Canis lupus familiaris: one gene and its partners. The protein of the gene in region 5 interacts with the protein of the main gene of each other region in a pairwise test. Links are inferred from orthologs where the notes say so. Each region holds a gene or a part of one and is shown on either strand. Other genes may lie near its edges.

What was found.
Region 1: the proteins of PSMC5 (region 5) and nuclear receptor ROR-alpha interact in a two-hybrid assay, tested with the Homo sapiens proteins (3 studies listed by BioGRID and IntAct). The link is inferred for Canis lupus familiaris from reciprocal best matches to the Homo sapiens genes PSMC5 and RORA.
Region 2: the proteins of PSMC5 (region 5) and RORB interact in binary tests that used the Homo sapiens proteins (3 or more experiments, as listed by UniProt). The link is inferred for Canis lupus familiaris from reciprocal best matches to the Homo sapiens genes PSMC5 and RORB.
Region 3: the proteins of PSMC5 (region 5) and TNNT1 interact in a two-hybrid assay, tested with the Homo sapiens proteins (2 studies listed by BioGRID and IntAct). The two-hybrid records come from large-scale screens. The link is inferred for Canis lupus familiaris from reciprocal best matches to the Homo sapiens genes PSMC5 and TNNT1.
Region 4: the proteins of PSMC5 (region 5) and RARB interact in binary tests that used the Homo sapiens proteins (3 or more experiments, as listed by UniProt). The link is inferred for Canis lupus familiaris from reciprocal best matches to the Homo sapiens genes PSMC5 and RARB.
Region 6: the proteins of PSMC5 (region 5) and FOS interact in a two-hybrid assay, tested with the Homo sapiens proteins (3 studies listed by BioGRID and IntAct). The link is inferred for Canis lupus familiaris from reciprocal best matches to the Homo sapiens genes PSMC5 and FOS.
Region 7: the proteins of PSMC5 (region 5) and PDC interact in a two-hybrid assay, tested with the Homo sapiens proteins (2 studies listed by BioGRID). The link is inferred for Canis lupus familiaris from reciprocal best matches to the Homo sapiens genes PSMC5 and PDC.

The regions. Positions count from the first base shown.
Region 1 is NC_049251.1:25,739,319-25,743,244, forward strand, and holds part of nuclear receptor ROR-alpha, read right to left. Parts: intron 3,113-3,926; coding exon 2,980-3,112; intron 2,308-2,979; coding exon 2,200-2,307; intron 494-2,199; coding exon 383-493; intron 1-382. UniProt on the Homo sapiens protein: Nuclear receptor that binds DNA as a monomer to ROR response elements (RORE) containing a single core motif half-site 5'-AGGTCA-3' preceded by a short A-T-rich sequence.
Region 2 is NC_049222.1:84,344,215-84,348,895, forward strand, and holds the start of RORB (nuclear receptor ROR-beta), read right to left. Parts: upstream 2,827-4,681; 5' UTR 2,112-2,826; coding exon 2,105-2,111; intron 1-2,104. UniProt on the Homo sapiens protein: Nuclear receptor that binds DNA as a monomer to ROR response elements (RORE) containing a single core motif half-site 5'-AGGTCA-3' preceded by a short A-T-rich sequence.
Region 3 is NC_049222.1:103,248,465-103,252,390, reverse strand, and holds part of TNNT1 (troponin T, slow skeletal muscle), read right to left. Parts: intron 3,909-3,926; coding exon 3,887-3,908; intron 1,636-3,886; coding exon 1,575-1,635; intron 1,288-1,574; coding exon 1,171-1,287; intron 937-1,170; coding exon 859-936; intron 1-858. UniProt on the Homo sapiens protein: Troponin T is the tropomyosin-binding subunit of troponin, the thin filament regulatory complex which confers calcium-sensitivity to striated muscle actomyosin ATPase activity.
Region 4 is NC_049244.1:18,937,386-18,941,311, reverse strand, and holds part of RARB (retinoic acid receptor beta), read left to right. Parts: intron 1-2,747; 5' UTR 2,748-3,026; coding exon 3,027-3,204; intron 3,205-3,926. UniProt on the Homo sapiens protein: Receptor for retinoic acid. Retinoic acid receptors bind as heterodimers to their target response elements in response to their ligands, all-trans or 9-cis retinoic acid, and regulate gene expression in various biological processes.
Region 5 is NC_049230.1:15,140,657-15,145,092, forward strand, and holds the start of PSMC5 (26S proteasome regulatory subunit 8), read right to left. Parts: upstream 2,840-4,436; 5' UTR 2,761-2,839; coding exon 2,737-2,760; intron 2,288-2,736; coding exon 2,216-2,287; intron 1,176-2,215; coding exon 1,106-1,175; intron 783-1,105; coding exon 685-782; intron 517-684; coding exon 460-516; intron 384-459; coding exon 153-383; intron 1-152. Other genes in the region: pre-rRNA 2'-O-ribose RNA methyltransferase FTSJ3, read left to right, coding at 3,279-3,345, 3,516-3,621, 3,878-3,924, 4,050-4,129.
Region 6 is NC_049229.1:48,647,485-48,651,984, reverse strand, and holds the start of FOS (proto-oncogene c-Fos), read right to left. Parts: upstream 2,958-4,500; 5' UTR 2,798-2,957; coding exon 2,657-2,797; intron 1,920-2,656; coding exon 1,668-1,919; intron 1,230-1,667; coding exon 1,122-1,229; intron 998-1,121; coding exon 356-997; 3' UTR 1-355. UniProt on the Homo sapiens protein: Nuclear phosphoprotein which forms a tight but non-covalently linked complex with the JUN/AP-1 transcription factor. In the heterodimer, FOS and JUN/AP-1 basic regions each seems to interact with symmetrical DNA half sites.
Region 7 is NC_049228.1:19,394,733-19,399,296, forward strand, and holds the start of PDC (phosducin), read right to left. Parts: upstream 3,025-4,564; 5' UTR 2,967-3,024; intron 1-2,966. UniProt on the Homo sapiens protein: May participate in the regulation of visual phototransduction or in the integration of photoreceptor metabolism. Inhibits the transcriptional activation activity of the cone-rod homeobox CRX.

The DNA of each region.
Region 1 (3,926 bases), on a different chromosome or scaffold from region 5:
ATAAACTTGTGGATGACATCCAAATGAATCTTAAGAAAAAGTAGGATATCTTAAAAACCATGTTATCTTGGGAGATTTGTGTTAAGAAGGGTAACCCTACTCTACCAGAGCATTTCTCATGATATCAGGAGGTTAATTATGGACTGGGTTTTACTCAGTTCTCATTTATTAAGATTTTATCAGAATGGCATGAGGTCTTCTTAAACATGTACATGTATGTGTGTGGGGGAAGGTTGCTATTTGATAAAACTTAGATTTAATAAGGTGGCAACCTCTCTTGGTAACACCTGAAAAGTCTACAGTCATTAAAAGTTATGTATCTTGTAAGAATTCTTTACCTGGACAATTTTTAAACCATTTCATTGTTATTTGATAATCTTACCTGCCGACATTAGTACAAATGCGGAAAATAATGCAATTTCATCTTCAGTCAGGTGCATAGAACATAAACTCTTTCCAAATTCAAATACAAAGCTAATAAAGTCTTCACAACCTGCCAAAGTTAAAGACAGTTTGGGATTTTGGTTATTACCCTAGGAGAAAAATATGGAATAAGGCGAGGAGGGATCTAATAATTTAAGAACCAAGGGGATAGGGATCCCTGGGTGGCGCAGCGGTTTAGCCCCTGCCTTTGGCCCAGGGTGCGATCCTGGAGTCCCAGGATCGAGCTCCCGCGTCGGGCTCCTGGCATGGAGTCTGCTTCTCCCTCTGCCTGTGTCTCTGTGTCTTTGCCTCTCTCTCTCTCTCTGTCTATCATGAATAAATGGATAAATAAATCTTAGAAAGAAAACAAAACAAGGGGATAGTAACATTTCTACAACTTAACAGTTTGAAATCTTAAAAAAAGAAGAATCCGTTTAGCTATCATCACCTTCACTATAATCCTGACCATTTAAAATAACGAGAGTGGACTTTTGTGGCAAGGTTAGTATATTATCAGGTACCACTCTAAGAGGTTTTCTTTGGGTAACTTATTTCTTCACAACAGCTCTATGAGGGAGGTATTATTATTACCCCCGTTTTAGATGTGAGGAAACAGAAAAATTATGTACTTAAGGTTATACAGGTAGGAAGTAACAGCCTGAAATTAAAAACCAGGCTGCCTGAATTCAGAACCCACAATCTTAACCAACAGAATTAAAAGAATTAAACGGCTACAATCCAACTGAGATGTTACATTCACTGATTTTTTTGTTTTCTACTCTATTTGATCTAAACCACTCTTAAAAATGATAACAAATGACACATTCTGGTGGTAAAATCATTATACCTTTTACAAAACTGAAAACACTTTTCTGAACGTGAAAGTCTCATAACATAATCCATAATCCATCCTCAAAAGATTGGTTAAGTTTGGGGGTGCCTGGGTGGCTCAGTCGGTTAAGTGTCTGCCTTCAGCTCAGGTCAGGATCTTAGGATCCTGGGATCCAGCCCCAAGTTGGGGCTCCCTGCTCAGTGGGGAGTCTGCTGCTCCCTCTCCTTCTGTTCCTCCCTCTTGCTTATGCTCACTTTATTTGTCTCAAATAAATAAATAAAATCTTTTTAAAAAAATGGTTAAGTTTGGTATCCACTCTTTCAGATTTGCATATTATGTATATGTATTTAAACTAATGGGCTTTCCTAAAGTATATGGCCTTTGGTCATTTAACTGTTTTTAAAATCACCTAACAACTTTATCTTGGATACTGTTTTGTTCTTCTTGATTATATTCCACTTTATTTAAATTCCAGAAATCCAAAGTAATTTTTATAGTATATGTCACTTTCACTTAGCTATGCTTTATTTCTCTGATATCCACATTTCATTCTTACTAATGGTTGTTATTGAGAAGTACAGAAGGGCAGACATTTAGATCTTTGCTTGATTTTATGTATCAAATCACATCTTCTAGTTTATCTGAATAACTTATCCTAGGAAAATCTGGTTCTTAAAACCTGGAAGGGAACTGGAAGGTTAGACCATATAAATTTCTTCGATCACCAACTAGATCCAACGAAAACGCTAAACTTTTAAATGTAATCTAGACAAAGAGCGTTTGAGCTGTGTGAATTTCCTGCAGTGACTATAAAGTAACAGAAGTATAAAATCCTTTAATTTTTGTTTCCAAATAACAGCTTCCCTTCTGTTCAGTGAGCTCTTTGGCGGGGCTCCCACATTTTCCTACAGCCCTGATGTAAAAGAGCACCCAGATTTCCTTACCCAAGGATTTGAAGACGTCGGGGCTAGCATATTTCCCATCAAAGTACACGGTGTTGTTCTGAGAGTCGAAGGCACGGCACATTCTGATAAACACCACCTCTAGAGAACCTAAGTGAAGGCAGAAATGGTGTGGATTATCTTCTCGTGGTGAATATTAATCTATTGTGAAGGCACTAATGTAGAGACCCCTTTCTGATTCAGCACAGCGGGGCTGTATGCAGTGGAGCCAGGGGCTTTCTGTCACACCAGCTCTCTATTTAAAGGGACCCAGTTCACCAGTGTAATTAAAGATTCATGCTGAAGCTAATGGAGGCTGTAGTCCTGAAGAGAGATGGAGTTACAAATTACTTCTCTGGCAATCTTCTGTCTTGCAAACAGAATCTATCTAAGTTGCCAGGAAAACGTATGGATTCACATTTATTAAACAAACCAAAACACCAGGGGTGGCCCTTTGAGTTCCACAAATAACATTCCTAACAACTCGCTGTTCCCTCCCGAGAGTCTGGTGCAGTAGAAACAAACACAGGTGACGGTAAGATGGGAGAATGTGAGTGCCCTTCAAATTAATCGTTTCACTTAGAGGAGAAGCAAAATGGAGGGAATGTTTCCCCACAGATAGCTCAAAAACCTTTAAAAGGACTCTGTTTCTGCTAAAAGAAACCCAAGCTATTATCACTGGAGAAAAACTGTTCCCGACACCTTCCTTACCAAGCATTTCTTTAATAAGCGGGTGAAAGCAGGTTAGGAAGAGATCTCAAAATTCACTTGCAAAGCACATACCTGCTTTGAGAAGCACAATTTGATCATTTTGACACAGTTCCATAAATCCATCAATGCGTTTGGCAAACTCCACCACATACTGTATAGCTTCCGTAATTTTGATGGCACACAATTGCCACATCACCTCCCGCTGCTGTAAGAGGAGTGAAGCACATTAGCAGACACGGTTACCCATGCCCCAGACACAGTTTGTTTTAACTGTTCCTATTTTATAAAAAAATCCTTCTTTGGAAATGGATTAAAAAAAGCTAGAGGATTAAAAATGAACACTCGGGTGATAATGATTGCTTCCAAGTCCCTTCCTGTCTCCTCCAATTTTTCTTTTTACCATTTTGGTGGCAAAGGGACAGGGAAAAGATATTATGAGCAGGTGAAAACATGAGTCAGGAAAGCAACACATGCCACTCTCTACCCTTGGGCCTCGGAGAGTAGCAAAGTAGGAACTTCTTTTGAGCAATCATTTTACCTTGGGGGAATTTAACACTACTTTACTGGAGGAAGGGAAGAAAAGGGGACTCAATCATTTATCGTGCACCTGCTTTGAGCTAGATGCTTTATGACATCATTGTCTTGTTTCATCTCCCCATTTTCCATAAATGGACATAAATTCTCATAGAGGTTTCACAGCTAGGATGTGTTGGAGCTGGGATTCAAATCCCAGCATCTCTGACTCTCAATCCTATTTCACATGCCTTGCGATTTCTTACTGCTTTCTGCTTTCCCTTTGCAACACTGGCTGGCTGCTGGTATTACCTGCTTTCTCAAAGGTAAATAATGTGATGTTTTGCTATTCTCTAACCTATTCTGTTTAATTGCTTCTACATACCCACTTCCTAATTTAGTTTTAGGGTAACCTAGATCTGTTACATTGCTCACTTGTTCCCTCAATCTTAGTTTGACTGTTTTCACCGATATGAGGGGGTGAAGGAAACACTGAATTAGGAGGT
Region 2 (4,681 bases), on a different chromosome or scaffold from region 5:
CGAGTGAGTGTGGGCTGTCGACTGGTTTCTGAAGGTGAGCACTAGGCGAGCGCCTGGCTTTCAAGCCTTCAGGCTGCTGGAGCCCGAGGCGATCCGGACTGTCTGGCATAGTGCTGCTTCAGGAGCAGCGCGATCAAGCTACAACCCACTCCTGCCCCGCACCGCCGCTTTCTTTAATTTAAGGGGGAGAGCGAGCGGCTTTTGCGCCGCAGGTCCTAGTGCCGGGTGGGAGCCGACACGACGCGTGGTTTCCGACCATCAGAACGTGGTCCTGCCGTGGGAGGAATGTTGGAAGGGGAGAAGTAAGGGAAGGGCGACCCGGCGGCCCCAGACCCGAGCAGGGGAAGCCGAAAGGAGGGGGATGGTGGTGAGACGGGGCAGAAACAGCAAAACAAAGACTGGGGTGGGGGCGTCTTTCCCTTACAGGTTCTATACTCGCCAGTTGCCCGAGTACAATTTTCTGAGAGAATCTGGACGATGCCGCATGTGACCAAACCCCCAACTGGGACACTCAACCGGAACCGGCTCGCAAGCCCCGGAGCTCCCACTCCGAGTTCGCGGGGTCCATCACCCCACCTGGATGGCTAGCTCCCTCCCACTCACTTCCCTGGACAACCTCTCTGTTCTTCCCCCTCCTTCCCTTTCCTGCCACGTCCCAGCGCCCAGCCAGTCCCTGCCCCGGCGTCCAAGCTCCAAGCTCCGGGGTTCACTTTGTGCGGAGCACGAGAGCAAGCCCGCTGCGCCCCGCCCCCCAGGGCCCTCCTAGAGAGGTAGGTGCTGGCGGGGGAGGGGGCGGGGGGCGGGGGGCGGGGGCGAGTGGGAGAGGTGCACTGCCGGCTAGAAGACGAGGAGCGTTTGCAGTCCGACCTTCCCTAGCTCTACCTGCCTAGTCCACCTGTCGCCGGGTCAGGGACGTAGGGAGGCCCGGGGCTGGCCTCTCCAACTTTCTGTTTGTTGCCAGGCCCCGGAGGGCGTGCGACGGGTAGCGGAGAGCCCCACAAAGAGCCGTAGAGTGGCCAGGAAGAAAAAACGGGGCGAGGCAGGTGCCCGGAGACTTGCACACGTCCCCACGGCAAGCTGGCTCTCGGCCCGCTCTTCAAGAAAAGAGTAAAGTTGTGGCCAAGCAGAAAGTGGGGGGGAGCGGGTCCGAGCACAGCGCGCTGGAGACCCGAAGGTCCCGGCACTGCCGGGGAGGAGACCGACGTAGTGGCTCCGTCCAGCCGGCCGGGCCGTCCACTGGGCAGCGCCGAGGGGACCCAGGGGAAGCCTCTCTCGCCCGCCCCCGGCGCGCCGCCCCGCGGCTGCCAGCTCGCCCCAGGGACCCGCCGCCGCCGCCGCCGCCGCTGGGGGTCTCGGCTCCGGGGCTCACCCAGCGGCCCCTTGACAAAAAGAGCATCCTCGGCCGCGGGGGGCGCCGGCTTCTCAGTCCTCTGGAACTTTCTCTGCGCAACTTTTTCGGGGCGGCGCTCGTCCGTGGACCGCGCGGGCTCCAGCACGCGGACCTGGCCAGGGCGGAGCGCCGGCGCAAGGGACGGGCGCGGGGGCCGATGCAGCGTCCGCGTCGGGTCCCGCGCCCGCGCCCGCGCCCCCCTGCCCACCGCTGCCGCGAGGCAGGGCCGGGCCAGCCCGAGTCCGTGAGTCCGTGCGCCCGCGCCCCCGCGCCCCCGCGCCCCCGCGCCCCGCCGCCTGCCCGTGCGCCCCGCGCGCCCCAGCCCCGCAGGCCACCGCCGCGCGCCGGGGGCTCCCAGCCGCCTCGTGGGGCCGCAGCCCGCGCCGGCTCCCGCTCCACCCGGCGTCCGCGGCCGCAGCCGAGAGCGACGAGCACAAACGGTTCGGCGAAACTCCTGGCCCGGGAGGAAGCAACTAGCGCCGCTCCTCTCTCCAAAAAGCGCCCTCCTGCGTCCCTCCAGAACTCCCGAGAGGCATCCACACCTTCCCACAACTTTGCACGCCCGAGGCCATCGGCAGCCCACCTGCGAGCGCGGACCCCAGCCCCGCGCCCCGAGAGCCCCTTCCCGTGTGCGGGGTGCGCTCCCCTCCCCCCTCCGCAGGGGCCGGCGGTGGCCGGACCGGGGACCCTCTCGCTGTCCGCGGGCTCGCTTACCTCGCATGGTGTGGCCGCTCTCCCGCTCCGCGTAGTCATGAAGCTGCTCCCAGCCCGAACCCCGGAGAGCCCAAAAATCCTGCTCAGCACGAGTGAAGAAGGTGGTCGGCAAAGAGCTGCTCCGCCGAGAAAACCATCCCTTTAGGCGGACGCCGTGGCCGGAGGGTGACGTTTGCCGCCGCCGCCGCCGCCGCCGCTATGTTAACAGTTTTGATGATGGTGGTGATGACTGTTTTGATGGTTGTTTGGTTGTTTGTTTTCAGGAAGGGTGGGAAAAAAAAAAAAAAAAAAAGGTGCTGTCTGGCTGGTGCCCGGGTTTTGTTTTGCTTTTGTTTTTCTTTTTTCTTTCTCTCTAATGTGCTTGCTTTTTAAAAATGCCACCGCCTCCGGCTTAGAAGATTTCTTTTGTGATCACTTGGACTGAGGAGGAGGAGGAAGGGCAGAAGCAGCAGCAGGAGGAGGAGTTGGTGGTGGTTTTGTTAGTTACAAAGAAGAAGGAGAAGGAGCAAGGGGTGGGGGGGGGGGAAAGGAAACAGAAAAGGAAGAAAGGCGGTGTGGATGGCAGAGCATGTGCGTTTTCACATGACATCTGTGCCTGTTAGCGGATCCAGTGAATTTTCACTGTTCAGTTACAGGGAGGAAGGGAGCGAGAGAGAAAGAGAGGAGAGAGATGGAGAGAGAGAGAGCCGAGAAGGGGCTTATACGCGAGGGCGGGTTTGGCCGGGACTCCCAGGCCCCGCCCGCTGTCAGCGCCGCCGCCTATCAGCGCCCGGCAGCGCTCGGAGGGGCCGGGGCCGGGGCCGCGGGGGAGGGGCCGCGCTTCCCGGAGGCGGGCGGGGGTGCGGGACGCGGCGGCCCGCGGCCGGCCCGAGCTGACACTGGCCGGGGAGACCGTCCGAGCTGGGCAAAGGAGCGGGCCCGGCCCGCGAGGGGCGCCGACCCGCAGGGGACACTCACGTCCGACCCCGGAGGCGGGGGAAGGCGCTGCCCAGTCCTTTCGGAGGCGACGGCCGTGCGGCTGCCCGGGTCCCCCGTTGCGTCCGTCTCTCGCAGCCGCCGCCTGCCCCGAGAGTGAGTTCTGAGTGCCTGGCAGCGCTCTGCAGAGTCCTCTTTCGGTAAACTCCGAATTTCTGGCGGGGCTTTTCGTGGCAGCAAAACGCCAATCAATTTCCATCACGTTGAGCGTGACCAAACTGCAGTCCCGTGCAAGGGCCATCCGCTTCCTTGAAAACCATCTTTCAGATGCTTCCCGCCCCGAATCCTAAAAACAGGAAGCACGACACACTTAAGATTTCTTCAGGGTGGTTTTTATTTTTTTTTTTTTAATTATTTTTTAAAAATGTTGTAATACTTTCTTTCGTCAAGGAAATTTTTATTAGCATTTGCAAAATCTCCTGGCATTGCGCTACCTCTATTCAAGGGTAAGAGCCCCAACTGTGGCTACCTCAGTGGTGCCAGGGAGATGGCTGAGGCCAGAGGGATGACTGTGTAAGTGCTGTTTATTTGACAAACGTGTAGGGCTCTAGGAGGGAGGACTCTTAAGCCCCTGGCTTTGAGAAGACACTTCTCTATTTATTGGAGACTGACAATTAAACGTGAGTATTTTGTATTCCTTAGGTGAAAACTGTCATCTATGACCATTTATTTGTATTTTGATAAAAATCCAGTGCATATGTCAAACCTGTTCCTTTGCAAGTTTTCCTCTCTCAGTGGACACAGTAAACACATAGTGATCACATCTACTCCCCGCCCCCATCCCCACCATAGTAGGTTAATTGGTCCCCTACAAAGCAGAGAGGGGAGAAATTTGCTTCTCTTACTCAGTCTTAAGCCATTGAGGCTTCTACTCATTAGCGTACCTGTTGGCAGAGCAGGCCTCATCATCATTCACCTGCCCAAATAATTTGATTTTTTGCTCTATTCATATTATGTCATGTGACAAAAAAAATGCAATGCAAAATTGGCGATTATTTAGTTAATTACTGCACTCTACACGGCCAAGTAGTTTGTCCCTCCCTGTTTAAATAAGAAAATGGATTACTTGCTGAATCCTCCCTAGTGCTAAATTGACTTAGCCCTGCTATATGCCCTTCCATTTGCAAGCCAATGTGTAATTTAGGAAAATTTTAGTATTAAGAGTGAAAGTTGATTGAGTCTTTAATTAAATGAAATGAACAGAAGGAAGTCACTGTTCAGAATAGTTATTCTCTTATAAATACCTTTCCCCTAGATTTGTAATTGACACAGTAGTTAATCTTTTAAGATAATATTTAAGGCTCCCTGGTTTTATCATTTTTAATCAAGTAAAATATATTCATTATAACCACATTAAAGCTGCACTAAGTTATGCCTAATTTAGTTGCTTCATTAAAAATTACTGAATATAAAATAGTCAAGAAACAAATTGTGACTACAACATTTTAATTTTATGTGCTTCAAGCGGAGACACAGGAGTGTTGAAAGTTCCAAAGCCTTTGTAAACACTATAATTATTACTGTTGTGATTATTTTAGATTTCTATTTCTGATTAAGGAGAAATTTTGAAATTCAAGAATTTTAACTCTTTTCTTCTAGTCT
Region 3 (3,926 bases), on a different chromosome or scaffold from region 5:
CTCTGCCTGTGTCTCTGCCTCTCTCTGTGTCTCTCATGAATAAATAAATAAAATCTTTTTAAAAAATTAATCACACCTGCAAAGTCCCTTTTGCCATGCAAGGTATCATATTCATAGACTCTGGGCATTAGGATGTGAGCATCTTTGGGAGACCAGTACTTTGCCTACCATGTCACTACTCCTAATCTTTAAAAGTGCTTCCAGGAGTCCTTGATGTCAAGGCAGATCACATATCCAGAGCCTACGCCAATGGGAATATCCTAACCAGTCTCCTACAACTAGCTAGCAATTTGCTCCAAGTTGGACAGGTGACCAATCTGCACTCATCCCAGAATCATGCAGAAGACAGATAAAAGAGGAATTATAGCCAGAGTTTCTGATGGTCACTTTCCATCCCTGCCTGAGAACGGGATGTCCAGTAGGGTGACCAGCCATCTGGTTTCCCTGGGACTGATGGGAACAGGATTTTCAAGGCCCAGGCCAGGAAAGTCCCAAGCACACCCATGATGACCTCATCACCCTAGGGTCCACAGAAAAATGGGCCCAGGGATAGGAAGACAAAAGCTGAGTCTTTGTGAGCTTGAGTTTCTTGATCCAGCCATGCCTGAAGCAAGTCACACTCCACTTTTCTTTTGGTTATATGAGCCAATAAAATTCTCTTTCTGCTGAATCCGGTTTGGGTTGGGGTTTCTGTCCCTTCCAAAGGAAAGATCCTTGAATAATACAGCACAAGGACTTTCTCAGGACAGCAGAAAATATGACAAATGGGAAACAGAGCATCCAGCTGAAGAAGTAACATTTGGTCTCCCTTCCAGGGCAGGGCTGGGCAGGGCAGGGAAGGGCAGGGGAGGCACCCACCGCCAGCTTAGCCTGACGCTCACGCTCCTTCTCTGTTCGGAAGCGCTGCTGCTCAGCTCTCTCAGCTCTGCGCCGCTCCTGGGGCGGGAGGGGGGTGTTGGGGGGAGAGAAGAATGAGGGGGTGCAGGGACGCTGCCTTCCCAAGGAGGTCAAGAGCAGAGATGAGCTAGTTTGAGTGTGGCCATGGACTTGCACCAGTTGCCAGTTCCCTCAAGATTCAGCCTCGGGCCTGCACTGTCTGGGAACCATTCCCAGCCCAGCCCCTCACAGGATGAGGGAGGAACTAGCAGAACCCCACCTCCCTCCACTCACAATGCGCTCTTTCAACGCAATGAGCTCCTCTTCCTCTTTCTTCCGCTGTTCAAAATGCACGTCGATGAGCGTCTGCAGCTCCAGCAGATCTTTCTCCATGCGCTTGCGGTGGATGTCCTGCAGGCCGGAGGGGGGGCGGGGAGCGTGTCATCCCCAGGCAGTGTGGGGGACCCGCACCCACCTGTGCGCACCTCAGAGGAAAGTCAGGGCAGGGCCCTTGGGGGCAGGGATGGACTGGGACAGTTTAGGGAGTCAGGGGGCCGCTGTTCGCGATGCTTGCAGAAGGTGGCACTAGCGACCCACACTAGGTCCATTTTAGGGGATTCCCGAAAGAAGGGAGAACCCAGGGGCGCCTCTTCCTAATTTGCACAAAGACACCTGGAGACTGGATGTCCCTTACTTACATCGAAGTCCACACGTTCCCCTTCTGGGATCTTGGGGGGGATCAGTGGAGGGACCACAGGCCTGATGGGTGGAGAAGGGGAATAAATGAACAGCCTGAGCTCCCTGATGGAGCTCCCCAGCTGCTGCTGCTGCACTGTTTACCCTGGCAGCCACCAGCCACGTGTGGTTGGGGCACCTGACAACTGGCTGGTCTGACTTGCGATTCCATGTGCCATCTGTGAAACACACTGGATTTTGAAAACTTGGTTCAAAGAAATGTAAAATATTTCACTAATGATGCCGCCTATCAATTGATTACATCTTGAAATGATAAAATTTCAGATATAGTGGATTGAATGGAAAAATCCTATGAAGATTAATTTTATCTGTTTTGTTTTACTTTTTAAAATGTTGCTTGTAATATATATTTTTATACATAAATTATATACATAGATTATACATATGTGGCTTGCACTATATTCGTATTGGGTGGTGCTGCCCTGAGGGGGGGTCCGCCCTCCATCCATGCCTTCATTAGAATTCTCTCTTCTCTGCTTTTTAAAACAGAAACTTCACCTGATTTCCTTCCTACTCCTCTCGCTGTCACCTCTGTCTACTGGTCCCCAGAGAGCCCTTTAAAGAGTTTCACCCTTGGGAATCCCTGGGTGGCTCAGCGGTTGGGCACCTGCCTTTGGCCCAGGGCATGATCCTGGCGTCCCATGTCAGGCTCCCTGCATGGATCCTGCTTTTCCCTCTGCCTGTCTCTCTCTCTCTCTGTCTCTCTGTCTCTCTGTCTCTGTCTTTCTCTCTCTCATGAATAAATAAAATCTTTTCTTTTTAAAAAGTTTTGCCCTTTTATTCGTTCACAGGACACTCCCACAAGGCATGTCATTCATTCGAGTGACTTCGATTATCATCAATTACCAAGGATTCACCAACTCTGTCTCCAGCCCAGATTCTCTTTGAGGTTCCAGACTCAGGTTGACAGGTGCGTCCTGACATTTCCTGCCTTCTCACAAACCATGCTGCCTCTGAGCTCACCAACTTCCCCCAGACTGAGTGGCGGCCATATGGCCCAGACCCCTGGCAGCGGTGCTCACATTCTCCCTCCCCTTGCCCCAGTGACAAGTCTGGCCTCTTTGCCTGGGCATCTCCCCAGTCTGTTCCCCAGTTTCCACCCCATGCTCCCCACCCTAGCTCAGGCCTCGGCCCCTCTCCTGTGAACCTTCATGCCAGCCTCCTCCTGGCCCCCTGCCACCTCTGGCTGTTTACCTTCAGTTCATCTTCCTTCATGACTTTAGAGCGGTGTTTCTAGCACCCAGAGCTCATCCTTAAGTCCAAGCAACCCAGCATTCAAAGTCCTTCTCCATCTGGCCCGTCAGATCCTCCAGCAACTTCTCTCCTCCTTCCCAGACACACACATTTCATGGTTCCCTGGCTATGACATGTGCCTTTGTACCCCTGGGCCTTTGCATATGCTGTTCCCTCTGCATGCAACGCCCTTCCCCTTCCTGCTGCATCCCCTGAGGCCTTCCCTTCTCCAACAAGCCTTCCCAGATCCCAAAGCACACCTGTGCCCCCCTGATCCCCCTTGCTGTCTCACTGAGGTCTGACTCCTCTACTCAAAACCTTCCATGCCTCCTCTACTCAAAACCCCCCATGGCTCCACAGGGCCCAGGCTTTCACAGCCCCATGCCTTCTTGCACTCTGCACTCCAGCCATAATGAAATTGGCACCACTGCCCACACCAACCCAGAACTCTCCTTCTTGTGCTCAGATCGCAGCCTCCTTGCATCTCCAAGCTTTGGCCCCAATCTCACCTCCTCCAAGACCCTCCGCCCCCATGAGCTCTCATGGTCTCCACAGATCTGCTTATTTTAGGACTCTCATCATCAGAATGACCTGTGTCTCTGTCTGTTCCCTGAAAGCCTGGCCTGAATCCAACCACTGCACCATGCATGCACCCTGTGAAGCTTTCTCCTTTACAATATCCCTCCCACCTCCTTCAGCTAGTGAACTCTTCATCCCTCAGGACTCTAGCATCACCTCCTCCCCTGGGAAGCCTTCCTTGACTGCCTAGGGCAAACATAGTACCTTCTTGTGTGCTACCCTCACTGTATCTGGGTCTGTTTCACCAACAGAGCAGATGGGTTCTGATATACCAAACACCAAGGGAAGTTCTCTGGACAATTGGCTGACAGAACAAATCCCTGCCCTTTCCTGCTTCAAGGGCCCCACTCTCCTTTTCTGCTTTTCTTACACCCTGTCTCTGGGGGTGGGGGGTACATATTTAGGAGGATGTGATTGGGATGCTTAGCCCCTAGGATCTCACCTTGGTTTGGGACGCTCCTCTTCTAGTGGGGAGATACAAA
Region 4 (3,926 bases), on a different chromosome or scaffold from region 5:
TGCTACAAACCACAAAATAAAAGTGTTAAATATATTAGATGGTGTGTGATATTTTAGAAGAGAAAGCGGGGAAAACATTCACCTCTCATAGTCCATTTACTTTATTTTCATCAGAGAAAAAAGTTGTGGTTTGAAAGTGTGAAAAGGACAATGATATTTGGGGAGGGCATCACTTTTAGGGATAAATGTGTTACATAAGCAAATAGCAAATACGGTCTCCTTTGTAAGGGACAGCGAAGTTCTGGGGAACCTGGGACCAGATGGTCTCACTGTTGATGACATTCATTTGTAATATTAATAGGCCAGGGACTCAAGGCCCTGGGGAGAATGTCATCTGAGTGAGGCCAGCCACTCACATCACAACAGCTTGTGGACTTTTTCCTGTAGGGTACAACTAGGACACCTCAGGCACTCAGTGACATAAAAGCACAGCATGGTAGAGGGGAAAGCACAGAGATGTAGCCAGATCTAGGTTCAGATTGTGACTTAGCCACAGGCTGACTCTGTGACATTGCTGTTAAGTCAATTAAACTCATTGAGGGGGTGGCTCCATGGTTGAGCATCTGCCTTTGGTTCAGGTCGTGATCCCAGGATCCTGGGATCGAGTCCCACATCAGGCTCCCATAGGAAGCCTGTGCTTCTCCCTCTGTCTATGCCTCTGCCTCTCTGTGTCTCACATGAATAAATAAATAAATTCTTTAAACAAACAAACTCATTGAGACTTAGTTTTCTCACCTGGAAAATGAGGATAACTGCCTATGGACAGCTCTAAGGGCCAGAGCTTAAAGCCCCTAAGTCAAGTGCTTGACAACACAGTAAACAAATGGAAATTACTATGAATTAGAAAATGTGGGGATTCATAATCAAGCTGGCCAGCTTCACAGACTGAGAAGTCAGGAAGCCTTAATATGTCTTGGTTCTCCACTGTACCCGGATCCCACCTTTCCTTCTTCCATGACAAAAGTTTTAGTCCTAATGTTTTCCTCAAACAACTGTGCTGTGACTTCCTCCCTGCCCTGATCCCAAAGCCTCTTGTCTATTCCAGTGAGCTTGTTCTTAGAAGCATATCATTTGATGAGACAATACATATGTGAATAATGAACTTTGACTTAGTGGTTTGTTTTTTTTTTTTTAAGATTTTATTTATTTATTCATGAGAGACAGAGAGAGAGAGGGAGGCAGAGACACAGGCAGAGGGAGAAGCAGGTTCCATGCAGGGAGCCTGACGTGGGACTCAATCCCAGGTCTCCAGGATCAGGCCCTGGGCTGAAGGCGGTGCTAAACCACTGAGCCACCCGGGTTGCCCTTGACCTAGTGTTGACTCCACACAGGGCACTCTTCTTCTCTTGATGTTACTTCATTTCCTCATGTACCCCTCGTAACCACCCTCTGAAGTAAATTCTATTATCATCCCCATTGTGTAATAAAAACTGCTATGTTGAGAAGTAAGATCACTGCCCATGGGATGGAACCATGATTTGAACCTAGGCAGTCTGGCTCTAGAATCATGCTCTTGACTGTGACTCTGTGCTGGCCCTGAGATATTGTTCTTGTTTTGTGTCATGTGGGTTTACTCTCAGGGCTTTCCTTCAGTGGAGTCTAGAGTTTGAGACTTTTGCTGAATATTGGTCTTCAGGACCAAAATGAGCCCATGGAGTCTACAGTCAGCCCACCCTATAATTGATTTCAGGCTTTTTCCACTCCTGGTCACCAGGAGTCCTAGGTCTCGATCATCCCTTGCATGTCTTTTGTGAGGGCAGAGCAATTTAACCCTCTTTAACAACATGATCTCAGTTAGAAGCTGTTAAAACTAAACAGCTCTGTGATGGCAGGATCCACATTAGCATTGTTTCATACTGTATCTCTACAGCCTACATCAGCACCAGGTGTCTAGTAGTAGTTAGCATTCCACTATTATTCCACAATAATATTTCACAACTGCTTTATTCCACAAAGCAGTTGTGTGGATCTACGGATGGTGTTCTTACAAGAAAGGTATATACTATTGACAATGAGAAACTGATATATTTCATGGGTCTTTGGCTATATCTCTTACTTACCTTTCTTTAGGATCTAGGGGTCTCCTAGAATTATATTTTATCTCGTTGGGCATCTCATTCCAAAAGAATGGGTTGAAATCCCGAATTTGTTTATAAAACGTATGTAACATCTTGAAAGAACCTAGGTTAGGACATCATAAAACAATGTGTCTCTAAAAGAAGCAAGAAAAAACATTCATTCATTCATTCAATCAATATTTATTGAGTATCTGTGGCCTATCTGGTTTCCTTTTAATAGATTAAAACGTTGTGGTACACAAAACAGAAAAACTCTCCCCTCCTGGTCAGTTCATTCTAATGGGAGACTGACAAAGCACTCTCACAAAAACTTAAGTGCCATGGAGAAAACTTAAAGCAGGATGAGGAATATGGAGAAAGATTACCCCAGAGTGGGGGGACATGGCTATTTAATATAGGATAGTTGTGGCTATTGTGAAATTATTTGTAAATTTGATTCTATATTAGAATATAAGAATTTAAGAATAGTCAATATAGGGGAATAGCCAGGAGCTAGGAGAGCTAGATTAATACCTGAGATTTTTCATATAATTTGATAAAGAAGAAGATATTTTTAACTTGTGATATTTATTTATTTACTTACTTACTTACTTACTTATTTATTTATTTATTTATTTATTTATTTATTTATTTATTATCTATCACTCTATCTTTTTTTTTCCCTTACAGAATTAGCAGCTCTGAATCATTAAAGTAATAGCATTTCCCAGCCTTAAATTGAGACGCTCAACAAAAAAGGCATCCTTCTTGTAAATCAACACAACAAGATGAGAGGTGGAAAAATCATGCTGAGAAGAAGCAAGGTCATATGTTGAACTGTTTTGCCTTTTGCCCAGAAGACAGCTCAGACTCAATCCTTGCCCCATATTTACCTCCCTCACTTTGGTTCAAGACCTGAAGTGATGTGTTCCAGCCCCAGAGCACCTTTCATCCTGTGAGGCCTGAAACATGACCACCAGTAGCCACGCATGTCCCGTCCCAGCAGTGAATGGACACATGACTCACTATCCAGCTGCACCCTACCCATTGCTCTTTCCACCAGTCATTGGAGGACTTTCCCTGCCTCCCCTCCATGGCCTTCACGGCCACCCTCCTCCAAGTGGATGCAGTACCCCATCACCTGCAAGTAAGTACCACTGCAATTTGGTCTTTTCTCTTGGTTGGCTGGCTTAATGGATGTCAGAAAACAAGGTGTTTCATATCCCTGGGTAAGTTTTTATTTTGGGGGGGGGGGGGTTTGGTTTCTCTTGGTCTGCAATTGTACTTTTAGTTCTATTGCAGAAATCTAATTTGAAACCTGACAAATGATGCGTTTTAGAATGTGGTCCATTCAAAACTCTGTTTTATTTTGCTCCATTTCTTAAAATGTAAACCTAAAAAGTAATCAGCAGATATGTATGACTAACATTCCTGAAGAAATTGGCCGCTTGATAAATAATGTGGACAGAGGATTAGAAGATGATTCCATAAAAATCACTTAACAATAATGCTGGACTTAACATCAATTTTGGTTGTGAGGTCTTCTTTGAATCTCTAACTCTGCTCCTGGGTATAGATAGTATCTTTAATTGTTTAATTCATATCACATAAGCTTTTGTGAGTGTCTTCATTCACTTTTGGTTCTGTACTAAGCTGTTCCTTACCTCTGCTCTTAACTGGAATGTTGGGTATAAAGTATTATAAGATAAAAATAGAGTTAGAATTGTTCAAGACTGATACGACTTACTTATAGAAAACATACATATTATGTGATTTTTTTTTTAAGACCTGCCTATTTCCGCACAAGCTGTGGTTAGCCAGTGAGCTCTTTCGCCTTTGAGAAATAGGTTGGCCATATGACACCTGGAG
Region 5 (4,436 bases):
GTGCCCTGGCTGCATTCTCCAGCCCCTCTTCCATGGGGAGGGCCAGCATTAAGTGGGGGTCCAGACACCTCCCCTGAGCCCTGTACTCACTTTGGCAAGGGCAGGACATGCCAGTAACAGCATGACCCTTCCATAGAAATCTTGCTTCTCACCTTGGGCTGTGCAATGCCCAGTGCTTCAAAGAGCTCAGGATGCTTGACAGGCAGCTCAATTACTTCTTTGATCTCCTTTATCTGCTTGTCTAATCCACCGATCATCTCATAGGTTGAATCTGGCACCTTCTCCACCATCATCAGTGACACCAGTGGGTCTACCTTGTTGGGTAAGATCTTGTGCAGAGTGTAGCTGTCATTTCTTAGAGCCACCCGGCAATTGGGTGTCACCTGGGTAAGAGAAGAGTTTTAGGAGGTAGTGTGCTAAGAGCTGAGCCCAACCTCCCACCTCACCTGCAGCACTCACATCATTGATGTCGATGTTCTTGTCCACATCTACGACAAACTTGCCTTCAGGATGCACCTACAGAAACGGGTTCGTGACCTTTCCTGACAACCACCAAACTACCCACCTCGCCCAGGAAGACCCAGGAGTCCTAAAATAATAGAAGAGTGTCTTGGCAATGCTACACACACGTGTGGGAATGCGTTGGGCTTTGGGCTGCTCTCTGGGGGTCAATCGTGCTTTTACCTTAACCAACACTTTTTTCTTATCCATGGCCCGGACTACTTCCCCCACATAAGAGCCCTGTTCCTGCAGCAGCTGTAGTTCTTCCCGCAATAGGCGAACTGGATGGGAAACAGACATAGGGGTCACCCAGCTTCTTCAGTGTCCTTTCTCTCACGACTCCATTTGACAGGCATGAATTAAGCACCAATTTGAAGTTTTAGAAGACCACAAAAATAAAGTCAGAATTTAATTTCTAAAGGGGTTACAATGGGGAGAGGCATGCGGTCCCTGCCCGTAACTACGTAACGGTGTAAAGTGTAACCTTGGACTATACGAGAAACAATAAGCACCAAACATGAAGTCTCAAGTCTCAATTTAGGCAGATTCAGACAGACCTTGGACAGACTGGCCAAATGCAGCCTTCCCATCTTTCCCTTCTCACCTTTTGCATTAAGCTCATTCCTCTGTGCCTGCAGCCTCCGGAGATTTTGGCTCTTATCGTTTACAATCAACTACGGAGGACAAGAAACAGCAGAAAACAACAAGAGGTTATGGTCTTGGCCAAGATCCTCACAGGCTGGTACGAGCTAAGTGACAGAAGAGCACGGGGCCACCTGCACGTTCCAGACTGTCCGATATGATCTTAAAGACTATCCTTTCCTCCAGGAGTCCCTCTGGGGCCTAGAGCAGCCATGAAAAAAGACTAGTTGCCCTAATAATGGACCAGGAATAGCAAGCCCTGATAAAAGTCACAGCTGCCTCACATAGTCAACTCCTTGCAAGAAAATAACATGGTAGAGTGGGAACATCACTGAGTCCAAAGCCTAAGTTCTAAGCCCACCGCTGCCAACTAACAGGTAGCTAAAGCTAAGGGAAACCATTTAAAAGGTCACGATGTTAAAAAAAAAAAAAGTCATGATGTTACCAAACTGGAAGTAGATCTAGCGTCCCCTACCCTGCCTCTTCTCAGGACTATTGTGAAGAACAAAGGAAATCCCATGTAAAGGCACTTCAAAAATCATAGACCGAATATGAAAGCTGCAAATACGCCAGGAGTTCAGAAACCGTCCTTGTGACTTTCTTTCATCCAGTGTGTATATTTCCCTTATTGCTACGGTCCCTGCCCCCTCTTCAGGCTAAGGCACTGGGTGGCCCAACTCCTTTTATTCAGTCCCATGGGGTCCGCATTATCCCAACTGGGAGTTTCGGTCTCCCTTCTCGCTCTCACCCTGTCCCAGCCCGTGTGCTACGTCTCATCCCAGCTTCCGCGTTACCTTTTATAAGAAACCCTCAATTCAAACTTCTAAAAGGAATAGTACTTGGCAAAGAGTACCTCTTACGTCAAAATCTGACAGCCAACGATGTGTAATAAACCGTGTATACTGATTACCTTCAAAGGGTGAGAAGTGAGAGAAACAAGAAACTTAACTTCATATACTCCTATCCTTGACCAGTTACTTCTTCCACTGCGCCCCCACCGGACTACGTGGGTTTATATAAACATACTCCAGTCCCTCATCCCCTCCTAGCTGCCTCTGTAGTCCATCCTCACCTGGAGTTCTTCGATCTTGGACAGATAATATTGGCGGAGTCCACTGCCTGCCTTCCCCTCTTCCAGCTCCATCTGAAGACACAGGGTAATTATTAGCCCCCCAACCCCCAAAATGCAAGGGAAAAAAGCCTGGACTTTGGAGGAATGGGATTTGGGTTGAATTCCTCAGTCATCTCTTTAGAACCCTCCACTTCCCCGCGACTAACTCAAAGCAGAAGGAGAATGCCGCCTACCTCGTAAGACTTTCAGGAGGATCAAGGGACAACATGCACGAGAGCGCTTTGTACCGAGCCATCTTCCCCTCATTCGCTCCGCTTCCCCCGGGTCTTTCTCTCCCGGCCCTGCTCTGACCCGCCGCGGGCGGCGCTGACACAGCAGATCCGGTCCCGCGCAGGGCCCAGTCTGGATTGGTCCACCCACCCAACCCACCCGACCCCCTTGCCTCGGCCGTCTGCCCACCTCGGATCGCGCCTGCTTCGCATCGAGGCCCCGTCCCCACCCGGCCACCGCAGCCGCCGTACCTGCTCCGGCCCGTCAAGCGCCATCTTCTCTCACCCACGGCGGCCGCCGGCATCCGAGCCACCTTGGCGCGCAGGCGCAAAAATAGGGGCTTGGGGCCCGGCGACCCTGACAGAGAAGAATTCCGGGTCAATGGGCGGGGTGTGCGTCGCGACGACTACAAAAACAGAGGCCATGATGAGAAGGTGGCTACGCGAGGTCAGGAGCTTGGAAAGGGATGAGGAGGCCACGGAACTCCTAAATGTTGCTCTCTAGGAACTCAGTTTTAGATCAGGTAATCCGCTCACCTGGTCCCAACTTCCAACTTGCAATACTTAAGGACATAAAGAAAACTTTTCGGCCACGCTCAAAATGGCGGAAACTTGGAGCCGGAGACGCAAGCGACGCAAGCGGAAACGGAAGTACGTGTGCTGCCCCCCACGTGCCTCTCTCAGAGTGGTGAAAAAGGCAGAGATTCCCCGTGCTTGCAGAGACAAGTGGGGGACGGAAAGCGGCGTTTCAATTTTTCTGTCCCCAGGTTAAGTGACAGTCCTCCCGTTCCACTATGGGCAAGAAGGGCAAAGTCGGGAAGAGCCGGCGGGACAAGTTCTATCACTTGGCGAAGGAGACCGGTGAGTCAGGGTCCGCGCTGTCTGCGAGCTAAGGAGGGACGTTTTCGATTCTCTCCCACCTTTCCGAATACTGAGTTTCCGTTCTGTAGACGGGGTGGTGGGTTGTGAAGTCGCAGAAATCTCCCTGGGAAAGCCCCCCGCCGAGTTTAACATTTTGTCGGTGCCCCCAGGTTACCGCTCCCGCTCTGCTTTCAAGCTGATCCAGTTGAATCGCCGTTTTCAGTTCCTGCAGAAAGCACGAGCCTTGCTGGACCTGTGTGCTGCGCCCGGGGGATGGTGGGTACACCCGGCACCTGCGGCTCTTTGTGGCTGCGTTGAGGGTCCCGGCCGTGGAGGACTTGGAGTGGCACTGGGGGGCGGGAGGGATACGGCAATACCAGTCTCATGCTTTTCCTAGACGTAGGTCGGGGCACTGCACTTGGTAGCGCCTCTTAAGGCACGCGGTGAGAGAGCCTATTGCCAAGGGAGGGGGAGGAACGGTCTTGAGTTATTGTAGTCTTGAGTTATTTTAGTCGGCATTACTCTTTTCTAGGCTGCAGGTGGCTGCTAAGTTTATGCCTGTATCCAGCCTTATTGTGGGTGAGTAACGGATGGGCCCCCTGAGTGGTAAAGGGGTGGGAGAATGAGATACTAATTGTGTTCTGCATTTCCTTTCTCCTTGCTTAGGGCATCCCTTTGTAACTTTCTGACCTGATTTATTGCAGGAGTGGACCTGGTTCCAATCAAGCCTCTTCCCAATGTGGTGACACTCCAGGAGGACATCACAACAGAACGCTGTAGGCAGGTAACAGGAATCGCTCTTTTTCTGCGTCCTTTCTTTGGAGACACCCAAGTTTGTCTGTCTCGCCATCCCAAGTTCTCTAAAGGCAAGCCTTTTCTGTTTAACACATCTTAAGCAGTGCCTGTAGGATCTATATGACAAGGCTTATGATACAGCTTAGTCTTCAGTCCAGGCTTTTTTAAGTCAGGGGTGAGGTGTTTGGAAGAAGAGCAGCGATGTTGTTGAAATCTTTTCTTTGGGCTTGCAAGTAGACTGTAAGCTCTGTGAAGATAAATGCAATTTTGTTGTTGTTGCTTAATCATTATGTACC
Region 6 (4,500 bases), on a different chromosome or scaffold from region 5:
CCAATAATGAACCCAATAGATTAGTTAATGCTATGAGAAGACTAAAGAGAAAGAGATAAGAGACACAGACCCAGGCCTGGCTCAACATGCTACTAACTACCAGCTCTCAGATGTGTCACTGGGAACAATACACACTCCATGCGTTTTGCTACATCTCCGGAAGAGGTAAGGACTTGAGGCCGCGCGTGGATGCTTTCAAGTCCTTGAGGCCCACCGCCTGGTGTGTTTCGCGCACAGATAAGGTCCTCCCTAGGTCTACGGGAACCCTCGAGGGAAGACGTGTTTCTCCTCTCTGTAATGCACCAACTTGGGCAGTAGCACCCTAGGGTGCCTGCCGCCTCCCCTCCCTGCCTGCTCACAGGGCCAGCAGCGTGGGTGAGCTGAGCGAGTCAGAGGAGGGTTCGTTGCTGCTGCTGCCCTTGCGATGAGCGGCCGCACAGCTGGGGAAGGAGTCAGCCTCAGGGTAGGTGAAGACGAAGGAAGACGTATAGGTAGTGCAGCTAGGAGTACAGGTGACTACGGGGGTGCACAGAGGCTCGGGCTCTGTGGCCATGGGCCCCATCCCCAGGGAGCCACCATGCAGGGGCTCCCAGTCTGCTGCATAGAAGGAACCAGACAGGTCCATGTCTGGCACGGAGCGGGCGGTCTCCGAGCCGCTGGGCCTGGATGATGCTGGAAACAGGAAGTCATCAAAGGGCTCGGCCTTCAGCTCCATGCTGCCGATGCTCTTGACGGGCTCCACGGAGGGCTTGGGCTCAGGATCATTGAGGAGGGGCAGGGTGAAAGCCTCCTCGGACTCCGGGGTGGCAGCTTCGGGCAGGCCCCCGCTCAGATCTAGGGAAGCCACGGACATCTCTTCGGGGAAGCCCAGGTCATCAGGGATCTTGCAGGCAGGTCGGTGAGCTGCCAGGATGAACTCTAGTTTCTCCTTCTCCTTCAGCAGGTTGGCAATCTCGGTCTGCAGAGCAGACTTCTCGTCTTCTAGTTGGTCTGTCTCCTGTATCCAGAGGGACAGAGCAAAGCATAAGACGCGGGCCTACTCAAGGGCCCTGCTCCCGGATACCCAGTCTCCAACTTTCCCCCTAAGTTTGAAAAAGGAGTGACCCACAGGGTCTACCTACCGCTTGGAGCGTGTCAGTCAGCTCCCTCCTGCGGTTCCGGCACTTGGCTGCAGCCATCTTATTCCTTTCCCTTCGGATTCTCCTTTTCTCTTCTTCTTCTGGGGACAGCTAGAAAAACAATTTCCAAAAGGCCAACAGTCAGTAACAAGGTCTGCCATCAGCTGGGTTCAGCCACCCCGGGGTGAAACTGGTCCCTGCAGCTTCCCAGCTTCCTGGCACCCCTGCGAGGAAGCCATTTCTAACCTGCACTTGCGGGCTGGGTGTGACTTGCATTTAAAATAAGATCCTTAGCAAGAGAACAAAGAAGAGCCCGGTCTAAAAGCTGGAGAAGGAGCCTATGAGGGAAGAAATACTACCAGAGTATTTCTTGGGGTAGGACTATCAGAGTCCGGCGTGGGACGGAAATGGCTTGGAGCCAGGGTTCCTCGTGGAGGACAGATAGGTGGTGACTCCATCAGTGGCTTCGCCCTGCCCACGGTGCTCCCCAGCTCCACCAATGCCAACCCACGCCCCCTACTGAGAGAAGGTGCTGGAAGAACCGCTCACCTGTTCCACCTTGCCCCTCCGGCCAATGCTCTGAGCTCTGCCTCCCGTCATGGTCTTCACAACGCCAGCCCTGGAGTAAGCCCCAGCCGAGGGGGTGGGGACTCCATACGGGTGGGGGGCTCTGGTCTGGGACGGGGCCACGGAGGAGACCAGGGTGGGCTGCACCAGCCACTGCAGGTCCGGGCTGGTGGAGATGGCAGTCACCGTCGGGATGAAGTTGGCACTGGAGACGGCCAGATCGGTGCAGAAGTCCTAGAACGGAACAGAGGGGGCAAAGCTGACGTGAGGGAGCAGGTTCCGGACACAGGTGCGGCGGGCCGGGCGTCCAGTGCCGCATGCAGCGGCGGAGAGCGGAGGAGAAGCACGCCCCGGACTGCTCGGGGCTTCTGATGTGCCCCTCGTCCTGGAGGCAGGGGGCTCTCCGTGTCCTCCCAGGAAGCCCGCGACGCAGCGCGTTTCTCCTCCACCCTGCTGCTGCGTCCCCGTTACCCCTCCGGCATCACTCGCCTGAAAGGGGGTTTGTTATAAATATCCCTGACGTCTGCGCTGACGCAGGCGCCGCTCCGGAGTCTCCTGAATGAACTCGCTTTTTATCAATGAAACTGCCTTACACACCCGCCGGCTTCACCCTCCTCCCCCGCCCCTCCTCCCGGCTCCGGGCTGCGCGGGGAGGGGTGGGGGCGGGGGGATTGCCGCTTCCCGTCGCCTCCCGGAGGAGCCAGGCGCTAGTTCGCGAGTCTCGGCCTGGGACACGCTGCGCCCCGGGTAATGCCAGGGAGCGCGGCCCGAGGGCGGCCCCAGCCGGGCCTGCCGCGGGAGAGGGGGGCCGATCCTCGCTAGGACAGCGCGCGTGCGCCCCACCGAGTCCGGGGGTCCCGCGGTAGGGCAGCTTCCCCCCCGACTCGCCTTCCCGAGCGTCCCGCCCCGGAGTCTCCGCCCTGGGGTCGGACCCTGCCCCGGGCCCCGCGGCGGCGCGAAGCCAGCCTCACCTGCGCATTGACGGGAGAGCCCATGCTGGAGAAGGAGTCGGCCGGTGAGTGGTAGTAGGAGAGGGTGTCCCCGGCCGGGGACGCGCTGCTGCAGCGGGAGGAGGACGCCTCGTAGTCGGCGTTGAAACCAGAGAACATCATGGTCGCGGTGAGTCAGGGCCGGGGCGAGGGGCTGAGGGGCGGAGACAGGCCGGAGCTGTGGGGCAGAGCTGGGTGGGAGCGCGGTCACTGCTCGCTCGCTGCGCCGCGGCCGCCGGCTCCGTCTCGGCTTCTCGGCTGCTCGCTGCAGATGCGGTTGGAGTACGAGGCGCCGCAGCACCGCATTTATAGCAGCATTCTATGAATGAGCCCCCACCCACGTCATGGGCGCAACCATCGCGGCGCCAGGGGGGTGGCCGGCCGACCTGCGCACGCCTTCGGCCTCCTTGCCGCCGCCGCCGCCCCCGCCGCCCCCCACTGCCCGTCTTAATGTGGTCCCTTATCTCCTGAGCGATCAGCAATTTGGGTCTCCGGGGTCCCGTGGAGCCCCCGAGACGAGGGACTCCGGGGACGGCTCCCCCCACGACCGCAGGGAACGGCCGTGGAAACCTGCTGACGCAGATGTCCTAATATGGACATCCTGTGTAAGGGGGGACGGATTGACGGGAACTGCTCGCCGGCTGCAGCCAACACCGAGGGTGCAGCGCGGGGGGAGGCGGGGGCCGCGGCCGGGGGAGGGGAGGCGGGAAAGGAGAAGAACGCGAGCGAACATTCGCACCTGGTTCAATGCGGACCCTTGTTCCCCGGGCGGGGTGGGGGGATGGGCCGGGAGCGCCTTTTTACCAGTATACGGCGCCCCGGAAATGTGCTGGGGCTCAGGTATGGGAGAAACAGGTACACAGCCCGAGGGCTTAAGCCTCAGCCCCAGAAGGAATGCGCCGCCTCCACCCCCGCCCCCGGCCATTCCGGATTCTACCCTGATTCAGTGCACCCCGTGAAAGCAGACCCTCAAGCCCCCAGTCCGCAGCAGTACTAGGGCTGTTACTGCATTTGGAAGCAGAAAAGTCGGGAAATCCGAAATAAGGGAATACGTACGCTAACCTACTTTATCTACGATGTTGGGTATTTTAATTTTAATTGTTTTGGTTTTTTATTTTTAGGGAAAAAAGCGCATTTTTTTTTTCTCGGCCATACTTAGGGACATTAGCGATACCGTCAAATCTGAGACGCTAGCCAGTGAATATTGGGCAGAGCCTCCATGCAAGGATATCTGATGGGTTCGTTTGCCTAGTTCTGAGCTGGGGCCCGGGGAGTGGGATGCGATTCCGGGGGTGCTATGTGGACAAGGTGGTCAGTTGAGGGTACCGGGTGGAGAGAGTTCCCCGGGGGAGCGCAAATCCGAGCTGGGAAGTTAGACGAGGCTCGGTTCCCCCAGGAAGCTGGGCTTACTGGCTGCCCACAGCGGGTGATTTTCCAGCGCAGACTTGGGGGGGGGGGGACCGGGGGCGCTGGAAGGACTGTAGCCAGCAGCTCCCAGGAGGGAGACCTCGGCCGCTGTGGGACCTCAGGCGCGGCTCTGTGGCCTGGAAAACCGGGTTGGGGCGGTCGGGGGCTCGAGCGTGCGTTGCACCCCCAGAGACCCCCCCAGCCTCCTCCTCCGCTGCAAAGGACACCTGGGGTCACATTGCCCCAGCCCGGGTTCCAGCGCGCGGCCTCCTCCGGGGCGCGAAGTCGCAGAGCCCAGCGGAGCCCCCGTGTGCCTTCCCCACTCTTCCGGGCCCCGGGCTCGCGGTGGACCCCTGGAAAGGGGCGAGGCGGGACTAGGGCCGCGGGCGGATCCCTCGGGGCGCGCGGGGAGCCGGACC
Region 7 (4,564 bases), on a different chromosome or scaffold from region 5:
CCTCTCAAATCATAAAGATAGCTCCAATGATTTCCCCCAAGCCATAATTTCTTCTTTCTCTATCCCACCCCTCTATTTTATTTATTGACTTTGAGAACTGGAGATTTTTAGTAAGAATGATATATGGTCTTATGTTCAACATCAACGTAGAGGGAATTTTCTACCTCATTGTATATCAGTTAATTTCTTGAATTACTCTCCAGTTGACTTATTTATGTATGCCTTCACCTCCAAAGAATAGCTAAGCTGCTTGTGGGCATGAACCATGCATTACAATGCTTCCAAGTGACAGTATAGCATAATGATTAATACATAAACACTCGAGTTCAAATCTAGCTCTGTCAATTATTGGCTGTGTGACCTTGAGCAAATCACAAAAATTCTCTGCTTTAGTTTTCTTATTTATAAAATTGGAGTAATAGTAGTATCTACTTCAATAGGCTGTGTGAGGATTAAATGATATGAAGTATATAAATGTGTAGTATTTAGTTGTAGGAACTTAATAGATATTGAGCAAAAATGATAATTAGTAAATAATTAAAATTTAAAATACTCAAAATATTCAAAATTAATAATAGATGTAGTCAAATTAATATAAATTTTATTTAGGAATCCATGCATAGATGCACCGCTTAAGCCTAATTATCTCATCCACCCAAAGAATATGTCTGTGTGTATGTATGTGTGTATATGCATGGTCACATGTATATTGTACATTTATCTCAAAATTGTTTTATATTCTCCTATCTTATTACTGACTAAAGTTCTTATCATAATACTTTGATTTGCTTCTAGTAAGGTCTGTTTGCCACAAAGCATTTAAGAATAGAGAGATTTATTACTAAAGGGGAAATTAATTTGGAGTCATGAAATATAGGCTAATAAAATGTACATGAAATTACTTGAAAACAATAATAAGAAGGTTTTCTGAAAATATGTAAGTGGGAAATGGCAGGTGGTGATTTAAATTTGATTTTTCATTTAGTATTTATGTCATAACTGTTTACATATATTTTCTAAATTTCAGTTGTTTAATGGAGGAAGACTTTGCAGAGACAGTTACAGCATTCAGGATTTTTGTTGCCACCTTTAGTTGTTAATTTTGGGCAGGTCTTTTTATTATCATAAGAGTTTTCTTTAAAAATAAATCCCCAGGGCAGCCCCAGTGGCTCAGCGGTTTAGTGCTGCCTTCAGTCCAGGTCATGATCCTGGGGACCCAGGATGGAGTCCCATGTCCGGCTCCCTGCGTGGAGCCTGCTTCTCCCTCTGCCTGTGTCTCTGCCTCTCTCTCTCTCTGTGTTTCTCATGAATAAATAAATAAAATCTTTTAAAAAAGATAAAACTAAATCCCCAGAATTATGAATGGATTATAGGACACAGCATCCTCAGAATGGCTGTAATAAATAAATGTAGAGCAAATGGTTGAGGCTAAGCAAATGTTACATGTAAAACACACATCTTGATGCTGTTGAAAACATCCCTGTATTACTTTTACTCTCCCTAGTATCTAAAGTTTATAACAACTTTAATAGAACTGTGATAGAAACTTTTATATAAGACACTGCAGAGCATACATTATGTTTTCTTGGCTCCTACTCTTCTCAATTAATTTTGCTTTTTCAAGTGAGACTGGACAGATGGGAGATGTTAGGAGCCTTTTAATGATTTGTATGTCAGGAATGCATGGCAGACTTCTGTTTGTCTACCAGTATCATCAGCTACAAATATTCTGGGAAAATACAAGCTTCCAAATTATAACTGAATTCTTGCTCCTAATAAAAGAAAAAGACTTTAGCCTATTCAGGTTTGCTCTTACTACATACAGACATTTTCTTAATTGTTTTGAAGCAAATAGAAATGTTGGAATCTTGCTGGAAACTCAAAGCAGATTCCTTGTTTTGAAATTTCTATCTTGTAAAAAGACTTACCATTTATTGTTATAATTCCATTATAGACGTTATCGTTAATGGTTCATACATATTTTGACAACTCCTATAATGTCAAATGCAGTTTGTAAACAGCATATTTAAGTAAAATATTACCACGATGAGTTAGGTGGTCTCTAAAATTTTTTCTAGCTTTAATGTTAGGTTATTCTAAGTAGCATGTATAATGGCCAAAAATACATATATTTAAAATGGATGTTGTAATTACAAGCTATTTTTGCAGTTAATAAAAATATTCCATGGCAAAACAGTGGGGAAATTTTACTTCATTCATTTTCATGATGCAAACTGTAACGTTTATTAATAATCATAATCACCTCCCCAGGGAAGCAAAATTGGAGAAATATAAAACAATCAAAAGAAAAATTTTATTTACCAAACATCAACAAAATCCCTGTATTCTTTTCTTTTAAAAACATTATTTCTGTGCCATTAAATTTTTGAAGTAAACTGAAACAGACATTATTATCCCTATTTTCAAGACTAAAAAACCCAACCCTTCCCTCCCCAAAACCCAAAATGTAATTTTTTTTTCCAAAATGTAATATTAAAAAACAAACAACAACAAACCAAGAACACACGACTGGTTAAGTACCTGGTCCCAAGTCTGAGAGTGCTTTAGCACTGGGTATAACACTCCTTTCACAGCTTAGGAGTCAAATCTTCAAATACAAAAATCCTTTTTTTCCCATAATTCTCTCTTCACTCAAAGGGAGGACTGAAGAATTTTAAATTTCACAATTGATTCCCTGTTCATGTCCCTTTATTTTAACTGTCTAGAATATCAGACCTAAAATTATGTCTTTACTTTGAATTTACATTAGTGAAGATGACTAGTGCAAATCTCGTTAAGAAGGAAATATATCTAGGATTTGTTTTTATAGTTAGATAAGTCATTACTTAATGTTACTTTGAAATATTTTAAAAGAACACAACATATCCATAAGCAGTGAAATAATTATTCTTTCCTTTAAGGTAAAATTTTCAAAATGATATCAAGAAGACCACCTGCAGACTCACAGTTTGGTTCTCTGTGCCTGGTATCCTTGCTTATGTTCAGTGGATGAGAAGCTTGTTTACAGAACTCCACTTGAACTTGAATAGGTTTAAGCTCAGATTTAAGATCCTTGAATATTGATGACCCTTGCAGAAATAGCTCTGAACAAGTAATAGGATTGGCATAAGGGAATTACAAAGCCTGTTTATTAACAGGAAAGCAAAGACAAACTAAAACAATGAACAATTTCAAGTCGTGTGATAAATACAATCTTTGTCCGTCCATTTTATGTTATTTGATATAAAAATACATTATCTCTTTCCAGCATGGGCTGATGATATCTGTTCTCAGAAATTTACTTGTCATTTTCTGAAAGAAAAACAGTTTTTCTGATCAAGAAGTTTTCCTAATCCAACCGTAGGAACTATCCTTCTCAAAAATTGCATTTGGCATGGTCCATTTTTCGCTTAAATTCAACAAACAAATATTTTCTTCTAAATTTTAGTGCCCTGAAATGCCTTGTGTATTAAAATCTTTCTTTCCTTCTTTCTTATCCTTCTTTCTTCGGAGGGACTGGGGGTTTTGCGTTCGGGCGGTCTTTAGTCGGGGCGGGTTTGGTGTTCTTCGTTCTTTGTTTCGTGTTTTTTTTTGTGTCTTGTCTTTTCTTTTCCTTCTACCCCTCCCCCTTCTCCTTTCTTTCTTTCTTTATTTTAGCAAAAAAAAAAAAAATTCTAGAAATTTTGAATACAGTCTTTATAATGTTAATGAGCTCCACCTTATTATATCTCCCCTATATTTTACTGTATCTTTCCTAGTTCTTGTTTGTTTTATTACATTGGTCATTTCACTTTTCTTCTATGTGCTGTTCAAAACAAGGAAACTTCAGGCGCCTGGGTGGCTCAGGCCCTTGAGTGTTCAGCTCTTGATTTCAGCTCAGGTCATGATCTCAGGGTGGTGAGATGGGGCCCTGTGTGAGACTCTGCTGGGTGTGGAGCCTGCTTGATTCTCTCTCCCTTTGTCCCCCACTCTCTAAAACAAAACAAAACAGGACAAAGAGCTTTCATTCAACAACAAGTTAAAGACTGCCTACCCTTTGTTAAGGGATGTTCACCAGGGGTATTATTGCAGTCTTTGGAAATTAGGCTTTTGAAGTGAAGCTATTGGTTCAAAGCTAACCCCTAGAATGTATTTTATATGATCTAAGGGTAGAGAGCTTATAGTTTATAGGATACATTTAATTGGCAAGGGACAGCAATAAGATGAATATTTATTTACTACAATAAAATGAGTATATATTCATTAGCCCCATAAATATATATTGAGCACCTGCTTTGTGTCAACCAGCAGTGACTAAGGCACTGAGGACACAAAGAAAATTAAACCATATTTCCTATGTCATGGGGTTCACAGTTTAGTAAAGGAGATATGAAAGTAAAAGTCACAATGAGATGCTATAATTACTACTAAATTGGGAATATGTAAGAAATATACGATACAAAAAGAATTGGTTTTCAACTTTTTCTACAGGTTTTTAATAAAACTTCAGGTTAGCTAAGTCATTTCTGGGTCTATTTGCTTTCTGCATTTTAAATTTTGATTGGTGTTTTTTTCCTTTTTATTT